2 linked regions of the Oryzias latipes genome follow. The protein of the gene in region 2 interacts with the protein of the main gene of each other region in a biochemical or structural test. Links are inferred from orthologs where the notes say so. Each region holds a gene or a part of one and is shown on either strand. Other genes may lie near its edges.

What was found.
Region 1: the proteins of uso1 (region 2) and stx5 form a complex in vitro, tested with the Homo sapiens proteins (2 studies listed by BioGRID). The link is inferred for Oryzias latipes from reciprocal best matches to the Homo sapiens genes USO1 and STX5.

Annotation. Positions count from the first base shown.
Region 1 is NC_019868.2:11,879,486-11,891,309, forward strand, and holds the start of stx5 (syntaxin-5), read left to right. Parts: upstream 1-5,616; 5' UTR 5,617-5,635; intron 5,636-11,131; exon of another isoform or gene 11,132-11,264; intron 11,265-11,658; 5' UTR 11,659-11,823; coding exon 11,824-11,824. UniProt on the Homo sapiens protein: Mediates endoplasmic reticulum to Golgi transport.
Region 2 is NC_019859.2:16,829,773-16,841,035, reverse strand, and holds the start of uso1 (general vesicular transport factor p115), read right to left. Parts: upstream 11,171-11,263; 5' UTR 11,001-11,170; coding exon 10,935-11,000; intron 10,080-10,934; coding exon 9,993-10,079; intron 9,181-9,992; coding exon 9,116-9,180; intron 8,969-9,115; coding exon 8,892-8,968; intron 8,424-8,891; coding exon 8,412-8,423; intron 7,079-8,411; coding exon 6,978-7,078; intron 6,900-6,977; coding exon 6,797-6,899; intron 6,700-6,796; coding exon 6,644-6,699; intron 6,563-6,643; coding exon 6,442-6,562; intron 6,357-6,441; coding exon 6,178-6,356; intron 5,557-6,177; coding exon 5,416-5,556; intron 5,326-5,415; coding exon 5,237-5,325; intron 5,148-5,236; coding exon 4,993-5,147; intron 4,918-4,992; coding exon 4,712-4,917; intron 4,576-4,711; coding exon 4,555-4,575; intron 92-4,554; coding exon 1-91. UniProt on the Homo sapiens protein: General vesicular transport factor required for intercisternal transport in the Golgi stack; it is required for transcytotic fusion and/or subsequent binding of the vesicles to the target membrane.

The sequences.
Region 1 (11,824 bases), on a different chromosome or scaffold from region 2:
AAACGTGGATCCACAGGCCTTGTCCGTTTCACTCCTCTGAAGGACATCAACCCTGATAAAAGATTTTCGGCTCTTGTCACTATGTGGGAAACCCTATGTGCAAAGTTTACAAATGCTGAGCGTCTACTTAGAAAATGATGAACAACTGATACTAGTTTATGCCTCAACATTTCAGTGCTTTGTTCATCATCTTGATTAGGGTTTTCCAAATTAACAAACCTAGAACTAACTGGCATAAAGGGCAGCCAATGCTAAAGGAAGTTTCTGTATTAGTCACAAAATGAATGGGGGCTAAAACTTAATACATCAGTGCAAAAGTTCTGTCCCACAGAGCAGGGAACTGTTATTAACTGTGTTATTAATACCAATTAAGTATTCTGCCGTGTATGAATGCTTTAAAATCCCACTCGAGCGTTCCCAGTAGTTTTTTAATTATGATGATGCCATTTTTTGGCCAAAATAAAGAAAAACCTGTGTCGTTTTCTAGGTCATAATTTCTGCAGAGCAGCAGGAGTGTCATGACTTGTCAAAGCTAGACAGACCCAGACGCTGAAACCCAGAAGGAAGACAGGAGGTGAGTGAAGGTAAATAATAGATTTAATTTTTCCAGCGCATGAATTTGTCCTGTTGTGGCGGGGAATGGCAGGAACGGCAACTCCAGATGAGAGGGTGGATCTTGATGTGGCTGGAGGTTCGACTGTGGCCCGTGGCGTGGCTGGAGGTTCGGCTGAGGCCAGAGCTGAGGCCTGATGTATGGAGCGTTGAGAGGAGGTAGGTAACTCCGGGGATAACTCCGCTTGGGCTGAAGCTGAAGCTGGCGTCCACTCGTGGGATATGTAGGTCCTGGACATAGAAAGACTAGAGTTTAGACGAGGGTAAAGATACGTAACAGGAAAACTTGAAAGAGACCAGACAAGCACCATCAGGGGCAACGAACTAGCGTTGAATTCTGGTCCTGGCGCTCCTTAAGTAGGTCTGGCAGGTTGATGAGATGAGTGAACGCAGCTGGGACGAATCAGTGGCCAAGCAGAGAGGGGTGGGGGAAGATAGCTGACAGAGGCACCATGACAGTACCCCCCCCTCAACGACCGCCTCCAGGCGGTCCAGGACGGCGATCAGGATGGGCCCGGAAGAAATCCTCGATGAGGGACGGGTCCAGGATGAGAGAGCGGGAGATCCAGGATCGCTCCTCCGCACCATAGCCCTCCCAATCAACCAGGAACTGGTGCCCACGACCCCGACGCCGAATGTCCAGGATACGGCTGACCGTAAAGGCAGGAGCGCCGTCGATGATACGGGCGGGCGGCGGGGAAGCGGACGGCGGGCACAAAGGGCTGTCCTGGACGGGCTTGATTTGTGAAACGTGGAAGGAATGGTGTACCTTGAGGGCTCGTGGAAGGCGTAGACGGACACAGGTCGGATTGATGATCTTCTCAATAGTGTACGGTCCGATAAAGCGAGGAGCCAGTTTCCGGGAGGAGGCCTGAATCGGGATGTTGCGGGCAGAGAGCCATACCTGTTGGCCGGGCTGGTAAACGGGTCCCACCACCCTGTGGCGATTGGCGATGCGACAGTTGCTCTCCTTGGTGCGGAGGAGAGCCTCTGTGGTTTGGCGCCAGACCTGTTGGCAACGCTGGAGATGTTGCTGGACAGAGGGCACCGCCAAATCGAGTTCCTGGGACGGAAACAAAGGTGGTGAGTACCCGAGCGCGGCTTCGAATGGTGACACCCCAGTAGCGGAAGATGCGTGAGTATTGTGGGCATACTCAATCCATACTAAGTACTGGGACCAGTCCTCGTTGTTTTGTGCCGCCAGACAGCGCAAGGCTGCCTCCAGTTCCTGGTTGGCCCTCTCTGCTTGACCGTTGGACTGGGGATGATAGCCGGAGGTGAGGCTGACCGTGGCCCCCAGGGCGGAGCAAAAGGTTTTCCAGACTTGAGAGACAAACTGGGGACCACGGTCCGAGACAATGTCCAAGGGGATGCCATGGTGACGGAATACCCGGTCAACCAGGACCTGGGTGGTTTCTGTGGCGGAGGGTAACTGGGCTAGAGGAATGAAATGAACCATCTTAGAGAAACGGTCAATGATGGTGAGTATGACAGTGTTACCCTGAGATGGAGGCAACCCGGTGACAAAATCCAAGGCGATGTGCGACCAAGGACGACTGGGGGTGAGTAATGGTTGTAACAATCCGGCTGGGGCAGAGTTAGAGGACTTGGAGCGGGCACATGTGGTACACGCTGCCACATATTCACAGACGTCCTTATCCATTGAAGGCCAAAAGAACCTTCTACGGAGGAGATGGAGAGTGCGCTGGACGCCGCCATGGCAGGACAGCCGTGAGGTATGCCCCCAGGAGATGACATCTGCCCTGAGGGAGGTGGGTACATAAAGGGTTCCGTTAGGACAGGGGGCATGATTGGGTTCCTCACCTTGAGCTTGGAGCACCCGATTTTCGATATCCCAGGTGAGTGCGCCGATTATGCACGTGGAGGGGACTATGGTGGTGGTGATCGAGTTTTCCGTGGTACTGTACTTGCGGGACAATGCGTCTGGTTTGATGTTCCGGGTTCCAGGACGGTAGGTGATTGTGAAGCGGAACCTGTCAAAAAACAGACACCACCGGGCCTGACGAGAGTTGAGTCTCTTGGCGGTTCTAAGGTAAGCGAGGTTTTTATGGTCTGTCCAGACAATAAAGGGATGCTCAGCCCCCTCCAGCCAGTGCCGCCACTCCTCCAGGGCCAATTTTATTGCCAGCAGTTCACGATTCCCCACGTCGTAATTTTGTTCTGCAGCCGACAATTTCTTTGAAAAGAAAGCACAGGGTTTGAGCTTTCCAGACGTGAGTTCCTTCTGGGAAAGAACAGCGCCGACCCCGGAATCCGAGGCGTCGACCTCCACGATAAACTGGCGTGAGGGATCTGGCTGAATGAGAATGGGGGCTGTGACAAACAGTTTCTTGAGATGGTCAAAGGCCTGTTGGGCTTCTTGGGTCCATTGAAAGTTTTGATGGGTGGAAGTGAGGCGAGTGAGCGGGGCAGCAATGCTACTGTAGTTGCGGATAAAACGTCTATAGAAATTAGCAAAGCCCAGAAATTGTTGCAGTTTCTTCGGATTGGTAGGGGGTTCCCAGGCGGAAACAGCCTCGATCTTGGAGGGATCGGGTTTTATACGACCTGCCTCAATGATGTAACCTAAGAACTGAACAGACTTGACATGGAATTCGCATTTCTCTGCCTTAACATACAGCTGGTTCAATAAGAGACGGGTGAGGACTTGACGGACGTGTTGTTCATGCTGGGTAAGATTGTTTGAGTAAATGAGGATGTCATCAAGATATACAAAAACAAAGCGATTTAGAAAATCTCTAAGAACGTCGTTGACTAACCTCTGAAATACTGCTGGGGCATTAGTCAACCCAAAGGGCATAACTAGATATTCATAATGCCCCAGGGGGGTATTGAAGGCAGTCTTCCATTCATCCCCCTCTTTGACACGGACAAGGTGATAGGCATTACGGAGATCCAGTTTTGTGAAGACGTGGGCTTCCTGGACGGAGTCGAAAACAGAGGAGATTAAGGGCAGAGAATATTTGTCCTTTACTGTAATTTGATTGAGTTCCCGGTAATCTATGCAGGGGCTTTTCGACAAAAAAGAAACCTGCCCCAACAGGGGATGATGAGGGACGAATGTGACCCAGGGATAGCGCCTCCTGGATATAACTTTCCATGGAAAGTTTCTCAGGCCCAGAGAGGTTGAAAATGCGGCCCTTTGGTAAGGTAGCACCCGGTAGTAAATTGATTTTGCAATCGTAGGGGCGATGGGGAGGAAGGGCGCTTGCCTTAGATTTGCAAAAAACATCACGTAGGTCATGGTAACAGGAGGGGATCTTATCCAGATTAATGTTACTGGGAGAGTCAGTGGTGTGATGATGAGCCGAAGGTAAGGCGGACGAGAGACAATTAGCAGAACAATAGGGGCTCCAGTTAGTTATGTGTCCTAAACTCCAATTAAATTGTGGGTTATGCAACTTTAACCAGGAGTAGCCTAGTACTATGGGCGTATGAGTGGACTGGGTAATGAAAAATTGCATAACTTCCCTGTGGTTGCCAGAGGTGAGAAGTTGAACAGGTTTGGTTCTATGCGTAATTCTGGAGAGGTGCTGCCCTCCTAAGCCCGAGGCCTCTACAGGAGCTTCCAGAGGTTCTGTGGGAAGACCGAGTTTAGACACCAGACCATGATCAATTAGGCTCTGTTCGGCTCCAGAATCTATAAGTGCCCTGAAAGCATGAGTTTGGGTTTTACAGCATATTCTGACAGGAATGCACAGGAAGCTTTGATTTTCCTGAGTGCTGAGGTTGCCCCCCCGTGACCTGTCACTCAGCGGGGGGTTTTGGGAATTTAAACGCAGAGTGCACTGTGAAACTAAATGTCCATGGGCTCCACAATAAAAACATGAACCCTCCTCTTTTCGCCTCTGTCGTTCTTCTGCAGATAGTTTAGAATGATCTCTGTATAGGTCCCTCAGATGGTTTGGAGCTTGCGAGAAAATCCATTCTGAGGGGCGACTGGGCTGTGATGGTAGAAGGGGCCGGATCGCTGATGGTTTTCTTCGGGGTCTGTTGGCGATCATGACGTCGCTCGGTGAGTCGGATGTCCGAGCGGAGGGCTGCTGAAACGAGCTCTTCAAAGGAGTTAGTTTCAGGCTGAGTACAGAGATGGTCTTTAATTTCTTCATTCAAAGATTGATAAAAAATGCCCTTTAAAGCCAGATCTGGCCAGCCTGCTTCGACCGCCAGAATGCGGAGTCAATGACGTGCTCACTAACAGTCCGGTTGTGTTGTTTCAGGTTAAGTAATTTACGTGTGGCTTCTTCCCGTTTACGGGGTTGGTCAAAAATCAAACGGAATTCGTTTAGGAAGTGTTCATAGCGAAGGTGACTAATAGGGTTAGCAGAAACAAAGGCTTGAGCCCACCGAAGAGCTTTCTTCCGGAGAAAATTTATTATAAGGGTGATTTTACTGATATCAGAGTGATAATGCCTGGGAGCCTGCTGGAATATGAGTTGGCATTGAAGTAAGAACCCGCCACAGGCTTCTACGTTGCCTAGGAACGGTTCAGGCTGTAACCGGAAGTTTTCGGGTGAGTTGACAGGACCGGAAGCGGAAGCTGCATTGTTGCCGGAAGACGGAGTAGAAGCTCCTATAGCAGGGTTAGCATGTCGCTCGGTTAGCTCGGAAAGCGTTTGGTTCATACCTCTGATGCGAGAGATCGTGTCCTCTTGGACTGTAGTGACGCGGGTGACCGCACTGGAGAGGAGTTCCAGGAACCGACCTTGTTGGGAGACAATATTTTGTAAATCTTCCGGGCCAGCTGGGTCGGGGTTTTGGCTAGTTGTTCGTTCTGTCATGACTTGTCAAAGCTAGACAGACCCAGACGCTGAAACCCAGAAGGAAGACAGGAGGTGAGTGAAGGTAAATAATAGATTTAATTTTTCCAGCGGATGAATTTGTCCTGTTGTGGCGGGGAATGGCAGGAACGGCAACTCCAGATGAGAGGGTGGATCTTGACGTGGCTGGAGGTTCGGCTGAGGCCAGAGCTGAGGCCTGATGTATGGAGCGTTGAGAGGAGGTAGGTAACTCCGGGGATAACTCCGCTTGGGCTGAAGCTGAAGCTGGCGTCCACTCGTGGGATATGTAGGTCCTGGACATAGAAAGACTAGAGTTTAGACGAGGGTAAAGATACGTAACAGGAAAACTTGAAAGAGACCAGACAAGCACCATCAGGGGCAACGAACTAGCGTTGAATTCTGGTCCTGGCGCTCCTTAAGTAGGTCTGGCAGGTTGATGAGATGAGTGAACGCAGCTGGGACGAATCAGTGGCCAAGCAGAGAGGGGAGGGGGAAGATAGCTGACAGAGGCCCCATGACAAGGAGTTCACTAAAATTCACCTCTGAGCTTTTGGCAGGACTGTTGGCATGAAGTAAGCCTGCCCTGACATCATCCCTTTGTTTACACTCTCTCCCACTAGCCTACAGCCCCTCAGAACCCCAACCTAACATTACAGATGCAACAAAAATGGCGAGCAATATCGAAACTATCCTGCCGTACAGTTTTGAGCCAGATCTCAGCTCATACAAGGAAAATGAAGGCGGAAATAGATCTAGTCGTCTACAAGTGGATGCATCAGAATAGAGAGGAGCTCAGAGCTTGTGGCCTGCCAATTGTAGCACCTATGTCACTGCTTCAAGCTTTTTCCAACAGCATTTGTTTTATCTGCTCCTGATTCATAACGATTTGAATAAAGAAACACTCAGAAATGCAGTTTTGATCTTAATTTTCTTCATAGATGTCAAAAAAACGCCACAAGAACATGTTAAAAACACCCAAATCAGGATTTTTATTGGAGTGGGTCTTTAATGTGAAGCACAACTGACTACTATATAATTATTGGACGAATACTGATATAAAAGTTAGGCTCAATCATTTTTTCTGACATATTATTGACATATATACTATTTAATACCATAAAACAATCCAAAAAGCACACAAAGGGAGATTTTCTGAGTGGTTTAAAGAAAGGTGTGACATATGATGGAACGGATAAGGGAAGGTACGACGGTACAGGGTTCAGACGGGTGGAAGGCTGGGGATCTGGGGCTGGAGGCATACTTGTGGTCTGAGCATGCTTGGGCCTGTCAGAAAAAGGATGCAGGTACCAGCAGGAGGTTGAGAACATCAGAGAGCAGCAAGATCGTATCTTTCTCTTTCCATGCTGTACCTGAGTGTTGAATCACCTGAGGAAGCAGCCCATCCTGTCCTTGTCCAAATGTCTGTTCTGTCTTTTTGCTGGGAAAGATTCAAAATGGGTCTTTCAATTATAAAATTTCATGTCATTGGTACATGAGGTTTGCTTTTATATTTCTTATTTTTATTTCATTATCAGTGTTTTGCCAATTAGAAAGACATTTTGTTTGAAAGGGCATAAGAACAAAAACATGAAGTCATATTTACAACTTTTTGTAAATGCATCCTTGACATACTTATTGGAACTTCATTTAATATGTAAAACTTATACACACATTCTACTGCCAGGATGCATCTCAGAAATTGCTGAGATTACTAAAATTACCAAATATAGCCAATTAGTCTCTAAATCCACTTATTCCTGTTCAATGCCATCGTCTACCCAACCACTGAGGAGGGAAGGTAGAGTACATCCTGGACAGTTTTCCAGTCCATAGCAGGGCAACACGGAGACAAACAACTACAAACGTTCACACCCAAGGGACTATTAATAACCACCAATTGACCTACGAAGCATGACTTTAAACTGTGGGAAGAAATCAGAAGAAACCTACGCATAAACGAGGAGAACATGCACACTCCACACAAAAAGGTGCAGCAGGGTTTTGACCCAGAGCCTTCTCCCTGTGAGATGAGAATGGCAACAACTACGCCAGCACCACCAACGTATTAGTAATAAATATGACACCTATTTTTTTATAAACGTCTTAGAAAAAATACAAAAACAAAGCTTGTGTTTAGGCCCCACTACTTATTGGACCGTTACAAAGAAATGGATAAACATAACGTTTGAAACGTGTCCCTTAACTCAATGCTTTCTTAACTCGAAATAAGTAAAGTGAACTGGGTCCCTATTATTTTTTATTGTTTTATTTATATGTTTTATTGTTTATTTTAATGCTATTTTAAAGGCCTAAAAAGTATATAGAAATCACAAACATGTCATAACATGTATTTGAGAACACGTGTTGAACTTCAAGTCATGTCTGAAGAATACCAAGGAGAGGACCAAAATAATTTTGATCCATTAAGATAATGAATGTTTTTATAACTTGGTTCTTTGTGTTGTTTACATTTTCTGCACTTTTAAAGTCCCACTCCAATCATCTTTTGATCTATTGTAAAAGGGTTCCCAGTGGTATTTTAATTATGATTATGCCGTTTTTAGCCCCCAAAAAAACCAACGTTGTTTTCTGGAACATGGTTTCTGCAGAGCCAGATGTCAGCTCAGTTGAGGAAGCCAAAGACGCACTTGTATATAGTTATCTGCAAGTGGACGCATCAGAATGGACCAGAGCTGGAAGCTTGTGGCCTGCTGATTGTAGCACAACTACAAGCTTTTTCCAGTGGTATGTTTTCATCACCTCCTGGTTCACATTTGAATTAAGAAGTACTCAAAAATGCGATTTTAAGCAGAATTTTCTTTTGATATGTTCTTCAGCATTAGAAAAATGCCACAAAAACATGACTTAGGCCTTATACAACACATGTAAAGCAAGGCAATTTCATTTGCATATCGTTTTATGCAAACAAGGGAAATTAAAAATGCTTTGCAGAAATAAAATTGTTTTAGCTACATACAGCAAAGTAAAAAAAAAAAAACTATGTTTAAACTGGAACTTCAATCAAGAAACAGTTGGTTAACATCTGAGTTCACCAGGAGGTTGGTTCTAGGGATGGGTACCGTGCCCCGGTACTGAACCAGCCCCGGGGCCACATTGTTCAAGACCGCAGTATCGTTAAGATCTGACCTGAACGGTTCTGCTATCGGTACTGGAGAAGTTACTTTTTCTTTTCTTTTTTGTGTCCCACAAGTGTTATCTGCCATATTTAACTCACCAAGTCAGTCAATTTTCCGTTAATTAATTATGATATTAATTTTGGTATTCTCGTTGAAGCGGGGGCGGGGCTGTTTTTCAGACAGCACGCGCCGCGCGCGCACACACACACACAAGACAAGGCAGCGCACACACAGTCAGTGGCGATCTCGTAGGGGACACGTGAGCGCCCTAGACTAAGAACACCCGTTTCTGCGTAAAATTAATGAAGTTTGCATCAAGGAGCCCCTACCATGCTGTCACCTTGCTGCTACGATGACCGTATGTTGCGCTGTCTGTGTAGAACACGCTGGGGCGGCGTGATCTACACAAAACAAACAGGTAGAGAGGCGGGGCTTAAATTCACCGCTTATGATTCCAGACCCGTGACAAACTATCAGCTGCTTCCTAAAACTTATTTTTTTTCAACTTTATTGAACATAGTATTAACATGCAAAATACTTCCTAATACTTAATAATAATTAATGACTAATGATAGTTGTCATCCGTAAAATTAATATAAATTATTGGGTTTACTGGATTTAAACAAAAATAAATAAATAGAAAGGAGTCTGTATCAAAGTGAATTTGTTTCCATCATCTCACTCAATCCTAACTCTGGTGTTTGACAGACAGAAAAGTCTATTCAAGGTTGTGGAAAATGGACAAAAGATCAAAGGAAACATCACGCTCATAAAGAATAAAAATAATTAGATTAAATAATTAAATAAATATCCTGTCTGGAACATTCTCATGTATAAAGTAAAATCTTTTGTAAAAAAAAAACAGTGTTGTTGCATAATGAGGAAATAAAACACTTTATGTTCTTAATTTGTTATTTATTTATTTTTCGTCCTCAAAAAGTATCGATAAGTGTACCGTTAAAATACCGGATCGATAAGCAGTATCGATAAGAGTAGTAGTACCGTTAAAACCTTAACCATACCCATCCCTAGTTGGTTCCATCAGTGAGCTTCAGAATAGCTTAAAGGAGCTTCATCCAGTTTGGATTCTGCCAGCGTGTTACTTCCTGCAAATCCTACACATGCTCGGTTTGTAAACCACAAGTAGACCCAACAAGTCCCGCATCTTAAAATGATTCATAAACTTGACTTAGCACTTTAAAATCAATTCTATATTAAACTGGTAGAGCAGACAGAAGACATTTGCTTCAGTCCAGCCTGCAGGAGATAAAAGCATGAATCACCTTCTCTAAATCTAGGCTAGACATTAGATCTCTGAGTTTCCCTGTTAGATTGTGATGATAAAAGGATGATTTAGCCCTAATGTGAGGCTAACAAGTCTAAATCTATTGTGACATCAAGATTTCTAACGTGACTTTTGGTCTTTATTACTCTAGAAACTATTGTTTTAGCTTTCTGAGATTTGATCTGTTATTTTTATTTCATGGTAGACGTGTTATATTTTCTTTTTGATGTACTAAGCTATCTAAAGAAGAGGGTCAAGCTTCAAATAGTTCCTCCTGTGCTTTAATTTAGCCAAAAATGATCTATTTAATATTGTATTATATTATATTATATTATATTATATTATATTATATTATATTATATTATATTATATTATATTATATTATATTATATTATATTATATTTATGTTAATCATTAGGTTAAATCAACTGTTCTCTCAATATTTTGAAGTACATTTTCACTTCACCCTATCATGTTCTACTTCTGAAGATATGATAATCAGTCATTTAAAAGTAGTTAAGTAGGAGTTAAGTAAGGGATCACAATATTATTTGTTTCTTTTGAATTGATAAAATAAAAACATCAAATATTACAATAAATGACTACATGCAATATTTGAAAAGGACTTTGAATGGAGTTTGATAACTTATTGAGTGCAAGCACCTTGTTTCAATTCAGTCCAAACTTGAATTTTTGCAGAATTAGAAAAAATAAACACAAACATTGAAAAGAAACAGTTGTGGTTAAAAAAAGGACAAAAAAATAAAATAAACACCAAAACCAACAATAAATGAATGAATATTGTTGAGTCCTTTATATCTATTTCTTAAATCACTGTCTACAATTTCTTTTAAATTTTTAATTTTAACAATTTTAAATATCTTCCCTGCAGCTATTTTATATTTGAACCCCTCTTGTGGATGTATAGTGAATGTTAGCCTTTGTTCTCACAGCTAGTTTCATAAACATATATGATAATCTAAGACCTTATTTATTGTCTCTTAAATGGAAGAGCCTGTGGATGCTCTTTGGTAATTGTTTATTATTATTTTTTTAACATGATTTGAATTATTTTGAAATCAAACAGATCTCCAAGTGTGACTGAACGATTTTAAGAATCACAGACAGGATTGGGATAATCTCTTAAAGTATTAATTTGAAACCCATGATTATTAATTAATAATTAATTAATTAATAATTAATAAACCTTTTTTGTTGTCAGTTCTTATCTACGTAAGCATGAGTTATGGCTCCATCTGGCGTTTCCTGTGTACTACTGCAGTTTTGTTTTCGTGCGTAGGTAAAGCAGACGTGGCATTGACGTCAATTCCGGAAACGACTAGCATCGGAACTTTAACTCCGGGGTTGAGTAGTTCTTTTCTGGAAAAACATAGCGGGCTCACCAAAAATGGTTTAATACCTACTCAAGTAAGTTGGAGCTGATCGTTTTTTGTTTTTTGAACATAAATTAACGTCGCGCGGTTAGTTTTGATCGAATTATAACATGTTACGTAAGAGATAAGTGAAGCAAAAGAGGGTTAGCAGATTCAGCTAGCTAACCGTAGCATGTAGTTAGCCGGTTGGGCCGTGAACAGCTGTGGACGTCTTTACTGGCTTGAGATAACCATCGTTACCTAATGATATTAGTATTTAACTAGTGTGGTGATACATATGTGTAAATTATTGTGATAATAGTTTTGTGTTTTACATTATCGAATGTTAATCGTAGTGGATGCTAACGGTACCTTCTGTTCAAACCGGTGGTTTTTTGTAAGCACTGTTTGTTTGCTGATGATGCCAACAATTCTCTTGTTTTTTGTAGAAATGCGTGGGCCTTTGTTCATGAAGGATTGTCCGCCTTGGATGTGAGCTTGTTCCCACATCGGGAGATCCTTCTGTTTACCGTACAGGCTTCAGGCTGAGGGTTCGGGCGTCGTTTCAGGTATTTTCTGCTTCAAAAGCGGGTTTATAATCCTCTGACGGCAAGA
Region 2 (11,263 bases):
TGTGCAGGAAGTGCGTGACAGCAATGGGACAGTTGCTGATCCATGTGCACAGCAGCATGAGGAGGCCCACCCTGGTCTGGACTTTGCTGCCCTGCAGAAAACCAAAGAGTGAGTCTGACGAGGAGCTTCTGACACGCGAGCAGAGGCATCAAAAGCATGTTAGACAGCTCACACAAAGAGACTTCAGACCCAAAGAACTAAACACAGGAGTGGAAGTTAGAAGGGTTAAAATCGATCGGGTTCAGAGTTCATCTAAACCTCAACCGAATCACAACCACAGAACACCCGCAAAATGAACTCCACGGTTTTTTAAAGCACTCAAGCACAAAACAACTAACAACTAACCCTAAAACAAGCAGAAAAATGCAATATTTGAAAGAAATTAGCCTTAAATAAGCATTTGAAGGCCAAACAAACAAACAAAAAATAACCACACCTATAAATAATAAATGGAAACAAATGTTTTGAAATCATCGTTATGGCAGTCAAATGATGCCAAGTGTTAGTATCCATTACAGCCAACACCAAACAGTTTGGATGTTTTAAAGAATAAAACAAAACCAAACATGCAAAAAAAAACATTTCATATTTTTTACCCACTAAATGATTTCCATCATTCTTGTAGAGCAAAGCATCATGGGAGTGGACTTACATTAAAAGGTATCAGCTCATGCAGCACTGACTCACTAATAAACCTTTTGTTGTTGAAGGGGAAGGAAAGGAAACTTAAAGTGAAAATGTTTTTTTTTTCCTGTCTGGCCCAAAACAACAGTTTGTTGACCGGATTTCGCATTTTAATGACAGAAAGCCAGAAAGCCTTTGTTAATACTACGCAGTATCACAGAATGAGGAATCAGCTCAGTTTGGTGGAAACTGCTGGACAAACTATTCAGAGGACATCCCAGAGGTCATCAAATGGAACCAAACGTCAAAAATATTTACATTTTTCTCATTAACTAAGATTTTCTCCTGCTTATGGTTGCCAAACTTTTAAAGACAAACTAGTCTGCATTCCCTTTTTATAAGAATACCGGACTAATCTTCTTCTTTCTCTTTCGGCTTTTCCCATCAGGGGTCGCCACAGCGAATCATCGTTTTCCACCTCACTCTATCATGAACATCTTCTACCCTAACATTAGCCAACTTCATGTCCTCTGTTAAGACTTCCATATATCTCCTCTTTGGCCGTCCTCTTGCCCTCCTGCCAGGCAGCTCCATCTCCAACATCCTTCTACCAATATATCCACTATCCCTCCTCTGAACATGTTCAAACCATCTCAGTCTGCCAATGGACTCACTCCATAATTCTACTTGATAGTCGTTTGAACCAAAACTGGATTAAAACCCTCTCAATTCTTTTATTTCTACTTTGAATTCTGAGGTGAAAATAAGATTTATCAAAAAGCAATCAAACCCATTTTTAGAAACTCAAAGATTTGCATCTTCAAGTGACCACTTCCAATTAAAAATTGATGTAAATGTATGTGTATGTGTGTCTTTTGTACTTCTGCGTTCAACCCCATTATTTTTACGTCCCTTTTCTCCATACAAAACATGTGTATGCGCATTGGAGCTTAAACTAGTTAAACTTTGACCAATCAGGGACTTGGACTTTTAGTGACGTTTGGATGGCGTCCTTTTCAATTCACAGAAGAACCAAAAGAAATTCACAATTGAGGTTTGTTCCAAGCCAGAATTCTATGACACCAAGTTTTTCCTGTATCTGAATAGAGATGTGAAAGAAAAAGCAAGATGCACCAGATTTAAACCGCACCGCATTTCCCACCAAACTCTTTCTACTGCGAGTACATGTGCTAGCTAGCATCGGGTAGCGAAGGTCCAGACTGAACACCACATATGCTAACACAGCCCAGCACTTAGCACTAGACTGTAGGTTTTCCTGCCATTTCCAGAAGAAAAATAAGAGAATATAAAACCCCATGATGCACTGGGTTTGTTCTATTACTGCAAACACTGAGGTTCTGTCTCCACGTTCTGCTGTTCTCCTCAGAGGAACCGGTTGAAGCAGAAAACGGCTTTTCCCAGTCTGGTTAAGCTTGTTCTTTCTTCCTGTTAAAAGTCCATCTTCTTTCTTTTCAGGGTTTGTTCGTTAGACTGGTGGAAGTTTGTTTAACTGTAAACTATCTGAATAAAATTAGACACCGAACGTTCACTTGTAGTAAATTGTAAAACATTTTGTTCTCTTTTACTCAGATATTTGCTCAAAATGATTTCTTTTCAGGCAGAGTAATAAACATTTAGGCCTTACTCAGAGGATGTTCTTTTAATTTATTTTTTTAATTTAGCTGAAAAGTACCAATGTTATGCCATCCTGCCTTAATTTGCATTTGAGAATTTGCGCAGCATGCGCCAGCAGAAGGACGCATGTCTTTCCTTCACTGAAGCAATGGATGCCAAGCAGATACGGTGTGTGCCACATGTGTGTGCTTTAACACACATGTGGAGGGGATGATCAGGAAAGCATACAAAAAAATTAAAATAAATAAAATCACCTTTCTTGCTTTAGTCTCCAAATATGAAAAGTAAAAAGTAAAATAAAAAAAGGACAGATAGGATTTAATTCGGTTAACTTAAAGTTTTTGACTGAAAGGCAAAATATAAATTATCTTTAGAAAAAGAGAAAAAAAGTAGATATTCATTTTATGGAAATGTCACATTCTATTGTTCTAGATCATAAATTCAGTATAAAAAAGTGCAGTAATGTCAAAGTCTCTTTAAACTTGGGTTAAAACAGGTCGATCAGCACTTTAAATGAATTCTTTTCATAAAATTTCCACCTTTGTTTATTTTCAATGAGGAAATGTGTGAGAACTAACTTCCTTTAACAACCTTATTTACTTTTGGATGGAAATACATTAAAATAAGGAATTCACGCTGAAGCATACATTAAATTAAAGCTGCATGGATTCAGTACTTTGACAGTAATATCCAGCCTTACTGGGAGAGTTGTATTTTTTTTTTCCTTTCCAAAAATACACATAAAAAAGTAAAATCAAAGAGGCAGCTGCATTTCAACACAAGTGTAAAGTTTTCAAGACCATAAGTGAAAGCTGACTCTGCTAAGACAGAAGTCATGAATTTTAGTGGATGTCTAATCTAAGACATCATCACAGGTTGGGGTTTCTATCAAAGGTATGTCTGCACATTAAGGCACTTTAATAGACTAATGAAGATCAGAAAATAAAAACTATCCAGAAACCTGCACAACCACCATTTCTACTCAGACTCCCAGAGGAAAATCTAGTTTCTAATTTTCTTCATTTGGGTTTTTCTTGCTTCTGTCAGTGACCAGACTCTGTGGTAACTGTTGGATAGCAGATAGTGATTTTAAATCAGCTAAATCTGCCTGAAATGTTGAGGGAATGGAGCATGAAAGTTCGAGGTATAAATAAACAAATAAAAAACCAGCCACAGACCAAACATCATCCGTCCGTCTGCTCTGAGGAAAAACTTCAGTAAATCAGGAGTTATATGAACTTAAAAATATTCAGAAAACCCACAAATGAGAGAAAGCAGAGAGTGTTACGGTTAGTGTGTGGGCCAACCATTCAGTCCAGAAGGCCCCACTGTGGGACACATCAGAGAATGAATCAAGCTTGTTCAAACGTGTTGGTCATCCACAAACACCCCCACCTGACCTCCCCCACCTGACGTTCTAAACAGGAAGTACTCAGTCATTCTATTTGTCAGAATAACTATTCTTATCTGATATATTTTTTTTAAATGTTCTAGCTAATCCTTTTTTTCTTTATTACAATTTATTTAAGTTATACACTTACCAATCAGACTTCAATAAAAGTGTGTGGTCTCACGTTGAAAGTGATTGACAGTTTGTCCTGACTTTGACTGCTTACTGACGGCGTCTGGCTCCAACGTATCGAAATAAAACGGCGACTGAATTGAATTAATGATTGGAGCTGAAAGTTGACCGTTTTCTATTGGTGATGTCACATGCACTCTGTCCAGTTCTCATGTCCAGTCAGTGGTCTGACAACAACAGGTCAACAAAACTGATTAGTATGATGACAAAGACTATGAGTCTGACTCAGGGAAAACACTGCTGTAATACAGTGCAGATCCCACATGGGAGTCAAAAGTCCAAAACACGCGTTTTTATACCGCATGATAGGAATTAGAAAATGGATAAGACGCTTCCTCTGCTGACTCTAAAGAGCCCTCACTGGAAAATTAAAACGCCCCAAATAAGCCAAGCACAGGAGCAATCAAAGGTCAAAGCACAAAGCAAAAGGTTAAGAGGTCACAGAAGACAGGACATCTAGAAGCAGCTGCTGCCCTTCTGTTGGTTTCGTAGATGAGTTCATTTCCCATTTTTGGCATTTCCACACTGAGCGCAGTCATTTCACTTTCTATTAAATAAAAGTCGCTGGGTCATAGACTCCAGTAAAAAGGCGGGCCACTAAATAGTCCAAGAAAAGCAAAATCCACCAACAAGCGGGTCACAGAGACCCCTACTTCCTTTGCCAAGCTGAAATAACCAGAACACCCAAACACACACAGAGGTACGTTACTCACCCGTCGGACGATCTTATCACCCTGCAAAACCACAACAATGCAAACCGGTTCTCTTCACTGGGGTTTACAATTTAGCACTGATCTATGTTGATGGGCTAACTCGTTTCATGCTAACAGAACACATATAGCTTGTTCCGTCTGTACTACGGTGCCTTACCTGGGACAGGATGTTGGTGCACTGCTGCAGCAGGGACACGGGAGGTTTGCCCAGGCTGGTAGCGAGCTGAACTCGAAGCAACTGTTCCTTCTGAGTGAGGTTGTCCTGGAGAGCATGGGCCAGGGCCACGGCAGCACACCAGTTAGACAGGGAGTCTGCTGAGAACAGACCTCCACACAGGAGCTGACCAGCAGAGATAGAATTGGCTAAAGAGGAAAAGAATAGAGCCGGTTAAAAAAATAATTGCATTTAAAGGCTTTGAGAAACAGATTGAAACGAACCATCGATGGTTGAGGGAAGTAGTGTAGCCACGATCTCCCCCTGACCCTTCTGGTTTTTGTAGAGGAAACACTGGAAACAGTAAAGAACTGCACAACGAAGCACAAACGGCTGCCTCTCATTCACCATGGACATGAGCAGCACCACGATGGCTGGTCTGCAAACACAAACAACAGAGATCAAACATCCAGCCAACTCTAACGTGCATTGCCAGCTTTTTGGGGGAGAAAACTAAACTTTCATTACCGTGGAGGGCTTGAAGGGGCGTTGACTGAGGCAAAGTAGTCCTGGTTGATCTGTGAGCCTCTGATCACCTCCGAAACTGTGTTTATAGTCTGGAAAGGAGCAGTCGAAGGAACATTTTTGTCAGCGTTTCTGCCGTAACCTTCCTGTGGTGGGTCAGCGTCCGTACTCTCTGTGGTTACCTCTGTTAGGATATCGGCGGGCACACCGGTGGCCATGAGGATGGTGCACAGCTGTTGCAACAAGCCACACTGGAACATGCACTTCTGACAGCTCGCTGTAGCTCCAGGGGAGTTCACTGGAGACACCATCACTCGCACCAGCTGGAAATTATAAGCTTGTTAAGACTCTAAATCTTACTATTAGTCATCTTTGACATGGATTCTGTGAACGACCCACTCCACTCATCTTTTGATCCATTTTAAAAGCATTCCCAGTGATCTTTTAACCCTGGAATTGTGTTCAGGTTTGAACATTTTGACAAGAACACAATAAAGGTTAAATGTGGTTAAGCTTTTTCAAACCTTTTTCCCCATCACTTGATTAACAACGATTTGAATAAAATACTAAACAATATTTTGAGCTTAAAACTCTTAATATGTTCTCCAACATGATAAAAATGCCACAAAAACACGATAAAAAGACCAGAATTATTTGTGACGTAGAAAATACACTTTTTGATACAGCAGTAATGTTGGGCTGGGGTTGTGAGGGGCTGTTAGCTAGCAGGAGAGCATGTAAACTGAGAGTTCTCAATTATGGGCAAAGGGAAGTGGGGAGGGCGTTGCTTGCTGCATGCCTATAGCTCACCTGTGAATTTCTATTAAACTCCTGCTGCTCTGCAGAAACTAGATCATAGAAAGGTTTCCTTTTCTTAAAAAATGGCATAGTTCTAATTAAAGACCACTGGGAACACTTTTAAACGAGAACGCTGCTTTGGCTACCTGCAGCATGAGGTGGAGGTTAGTGACCTTCTGTGCGGACCAGCCAGAGTTATCATCCCCAACCTCAAACCAGGGCTTCATTCTCTGGATGTAAGAGCCCTCCTTAAAGAAGTTCTGGTTAGAGCTGTTGTTCTTTAGCAGGTTGAGCAGCAACAACAAACAATCCTCCACCACAATACCTGCAGCAGAGGAAAGAGGAGGGGGGAATGAGTACACACACAAAAAAGAGGGTTTTAGCAGTTCTGCACACACGACTCTGTTCACCTCCATCGCTGCTGCCCTCCTCCGTGATGATATCTAGGAGGCGTTCAAAGGCGTTCTCAAAAGCCACGATTTTCTGAATGGCTGCGTTGCCTCTGGTTAGCTGCTGGAGCAGCAGTAAGCCCTGTAGGAAGCAGACAACATGACTCATAAGTCCCACCAATATTTCACGATGGGTAATGAAATGGAAGACAGAAGCGCTCACATCATTGCGAATTACTTCTCTGGAGTCTGCTAACAGGTCCATCAATCTGGAAACACCTGTGGCGGAAAATCTAGTGTTTATATTTTAATTTAAGGAAATAAATAGAAATAAAGATTGTAGCCAGTTAGACTGAGTGAACTAGAAGATACTCACCCATGGGGCTGACGAGAATGATGCCTTGCACTTGGGCGCCTTGACTCTTCAAAAGAGCCGTCAGCAACTTCACCGCAGGCCAACGCACGTGGAAGTCAAACTCCTGAAACCCCCCCGCCGACAGTTACACTCTACGCATCGGAAGCAATCTGTCTGCGATGGTTGGAGAACAGGGCCGTACCTCCAGAAGGGTGAGGAGCAGCGTGATTCGCTCAGGATCCTGAAGGAACTTCTCTGTAAACAGGGCGCAGAGGTCGTCTGTCTGCTTCTGGGTATTCTCATCTGAGGAAAACATGGAAAACTTGAGCAGCTAAGTCTGTGGACTACCGTCCCAGTGGATGCTGCTATGGTAGAAGAATGTTTGGTCATGGGATCCCCAGCACTGAGTTTGGATCAGCAGTCAGTTATTTTTTTTGTTGCATTAACAGGGATGAAAAGCAGTGGAACCTTTTCAAAGACAGTAGTTCCATTTCCTGTTTCTAGATTTAATCATGAGATTATGATGCTCGTTAACTTATAATCTCTTTTGAAATCGTAGCGTGTTATTCCAATCAGCTCCAGATCCTTTTCCTCTGCTTTTGTCTTGCTTTTCACTGCACTTTTAACCAGCATTAGTCTTGATTTTCCATCATCACGTGACATCGTGTCTGTTTTTGTGGAGATTTGGAGAAACTTTTGGGGGAAGGGGTTATATTTTACAACACAAAACGTGAACAAACAGCAATAATAATAATCAGACAGCTTTGTGGTATTAGTAAAGCATTGCCAGTACCACCCATTGACTGTATGTGAGAACTGAACAGAGGGAGTGAGACATCACCCATAGCAAATGGTTTACTTCAAGCTCCAACAAAACAGTCAATTTAGTCACCAAATTCCTTCACTGCCCACTACATAGTGCATTATATTGTGCATTTGTAATTTTGTAGGGTTGTCCAAATTTACAATGACAAAATCAAGTGCCCTAGAAATTTCCCAGAAGTCTCTGCGAAAAACCAGTGTGCATCAATGCTCACCAGATTGGCGAATATAGACCACAATGCATTGCATCTGAACAATTGTTGCCAAAAAAATGTATTTAAATGTATTTTTAATAAACCATCAAAGTTTTTAACTTCAGAAGACAGTGAATTCATACAACGTTCACATTAGTGAGATTTTAACTTCATGAAATCGATTACGTTATATTTATTCTTCAATAGATGTCTATGGGATTTTGGCTTCTTGGAGCCAGCGGGTACCTGGAGCCACCTGGTCACTCAGTCCAGTTCCTTTATACAGTCAATGGCACCACCCCCAAACCCCTTGGTGTCGCTTTACAGTACAGCAATATTATTTGTGGTTAGTCATTGTGCAGTAGAGCAGCAACAGCACAACAGTTCATCAATAAACAGGCACACCTTTAAGTCTCCATGAGGCGAGTAGAAGAGTTGTTGGGTTTGCAAGAAATCAATAAATAAAATTAATCGTCTACTCGTCTCAAGTCACACAGAAGTTCAAAGGTTTTTGAGTAAAAATGCCCCCAACTAATGTCGGCCACTGCAGGGGCACCAATGTGCATGGATGAACGGCGTGGTTAAAGAGGCTGGCATCATGCATAATCCAAAAGATTTACCTTCTGATTCATCTGTGGGGTTAAAACATGAAAGAGAAGAGAAACAGGAAAATCTTTATACAACACATTCAATACTAGTGGAAGTAATTAAAAAAGGAAGGAACGCAGACCGAAGGCTCACAAACTGATACAAACGTCCAGCTTTGTGCTCATGCAAACGCAACACTGTTCAGTAAAGCTGCGTTTAATAAAAACAAATCAATTTCCCTTCAGAAAATCAATATTTGTTTCCAAATACAATTAGTTTTGAATCAAAATTTGAAATATAAATCAATATGAAATCAAGTTGTGAACTTATCAAAACCGATTAAATAATACTGAATTAGTATATTGCTAGTGGTGGCTCTCTATTAAGTACAATGAACTTGAATTTCGGGAATCCAAAAGGATTGCTATAGAGTTATTGTTATTATAGACATAAAAATTAATCTAATCGTACCAGGACAAAATAAAAACACCAAAACCTTATAGGTTGTGTACCTTGTTCTTCTTCCTCATCATTGCAGATGATGTTGTAGAGTGTGTCCAAAGAATAGCCAAGGATTTCAGAGTCAGATCTGGAGCATTTGGGGAAAAATTAAAATATTTTCAAAAAATGAAAATATCTTTTTTTTTTTCAGCCCGACTTCTATTTTACAGGTCAATTGTCGTTTATTGATCTATAATGTGAGAAAAAGGGCTTCAATCTAGAAACAAGGAGATACCTGTCAGTCTGCAATATGGTAACCAGGTGATCCATGGCCTGTGTGCCAACTTCCATGCGGTATTTCTACAAAAAAAAGAAAAAATGGATTCCTCAATAATGGATTTTGTTTCTGCAACTTTAGAAAAAACAACTTAAGTCTACAAGAAAAAATGCTTTCAGAGTCCAATGAAATGTATGATTTAATAAAGAATATTTACTAAAATTATTGATCAAGGCTTATAAATGTTTTTCTTGAGTTTAGTTCTTATTTATTTATTTATTTTTACAAATAAACTGCTTCACAGTAAGAAATAAAAAAAAAAGGTTGAAGGTCAAAGGTTAAATTCAGAGATTTTATCTGAAAAACTAAGAACATTTAACACACTAGACCTACATCCTTTGACGTTTGGTACAGTATGATTTTATTATAATATGCCTTTTAACACTTTCCGTATATTAATTTTTCTTTAAGCTAGTGAGGAAAATAAAATTCAACAAGTTACCTGTAAATTCCTCTATGACACCTTCATTTTTCTGTATGATTTATACATAAATAAATAAAATCCATCCTTTTTTCATTCCATAGGAATCAAGTTGCCAATTCTGAGCCCAACTTAGAACCAGCTCATGCTAGAAGAATACCTGAGGAGCATCAAATCCTTAATGGTGTCATACAAAGATGCAGATGTGTTATAAGATGGTCAGCATTAAAGCAAGCATCTTAAAGTGGTGGCGGCCAATTTAAAAATAAAATCTGTTCTTATTTAAGACAAAAAAAACAATAATTCAGCTCTCTCATAGATAAGACATTGAAGCCTTAATGTAAGCACAAACACAAAGATTTCCTACATTCCCTACCTAAATGTACATCTGCAGAGTTTGTGTTAATTCTATACCTTAGAAAGGGATTTGAGGGCCCGGACAGCGTCCCTTCGGTCCTCCAGGAGTGTTGAGGAAGCAACCCTGTCACACAACTTCTGGATCTGTTAACAAACAAGAAGACAAACGTTTTTTTCCAGAACACATTTTTAATTTCTTAATCAAAATAATCTAAATTTTGTGTCATACTTTTTATTTACATATCTATATTTTCCCCACAACTATAAAACACCCAAAATTAGTGTTGAAGGGCTGTTATAAAAGGCTTGATGCTAAAAAAACAAACAAAAAAAACCAAAAAGATTAGTCCTGTAGCATGGCACATTATTAATAATGAATACAAAGGTTAATTTGATCACATTTAAATACAAAAAAATGTTTTATTTACAGATAACTTCACCACTCAAAGATATCATTAAAAATTGAAAGGAAGTCAACAGAAAGACAAATTTAAGCAAACCATAATTTAATCCCCATCAGGAAATTAAGATTGAACCGTTTTTCTACATTCTACTGGGGTGAAGTCACAGATGTAAAGGAGTTCATTAAAAAAAACTAGCACACGAAAGTGTGTTTTTATTTCTTGTAATCTAAATAACCACTAGAGACACCAAATTAACAAAATGCTTCAACTTACATTAAAGTTCGATCTGTATTTATTGTTAACTGTCGTGAATTATAGTAAAATGTGTTTTATTATAAATGCAAGAATAAGTGTTTTATGACTACTAAAAATAACGGACAAAATACTTCGTTCGACGACTATTGCTAGGTTAGCTTGTGATAGCCTTACATTTAAGGGCTTTTTAAATCAACCGATTCCATGTTACTTATCTTTTAAAATGCGCCCCAATAACATAAATTTATCATTTTTCTTTTCTATACATGTCTTCGTTTTTTTTGTGGATCATAGCGGCAAAAATTCAAGTCAGATGTAGCTAGCATTGCTAGATTCCTACCGTCTCAGCTCCGGTGGGTTGCGGCCCGGCAGCCTGCCCTCCCATCACTCCCCTGAGAAAGTTCATATTGACAGGCGTCTTCTCAGAGAAGACTTCCAACCAGACGGTTTGTTTTGTTGAAGAAGAGACTCCGACCACTGTCTCAGTGGCACAAGTAAAAAATGTATAAAAATAGAAGAAAGACAGAGAGAGTGTGAAGAGTTACACTATGGGGCACTATGTACAGCTACCAACCCCGGATGTGAGATGGACGCGCATGCGCACTAACTAGACCATACGTGGCTCACCCGCACGAGTGATCAGTTTTCTTAAAGGGCCAGAGCACTAAA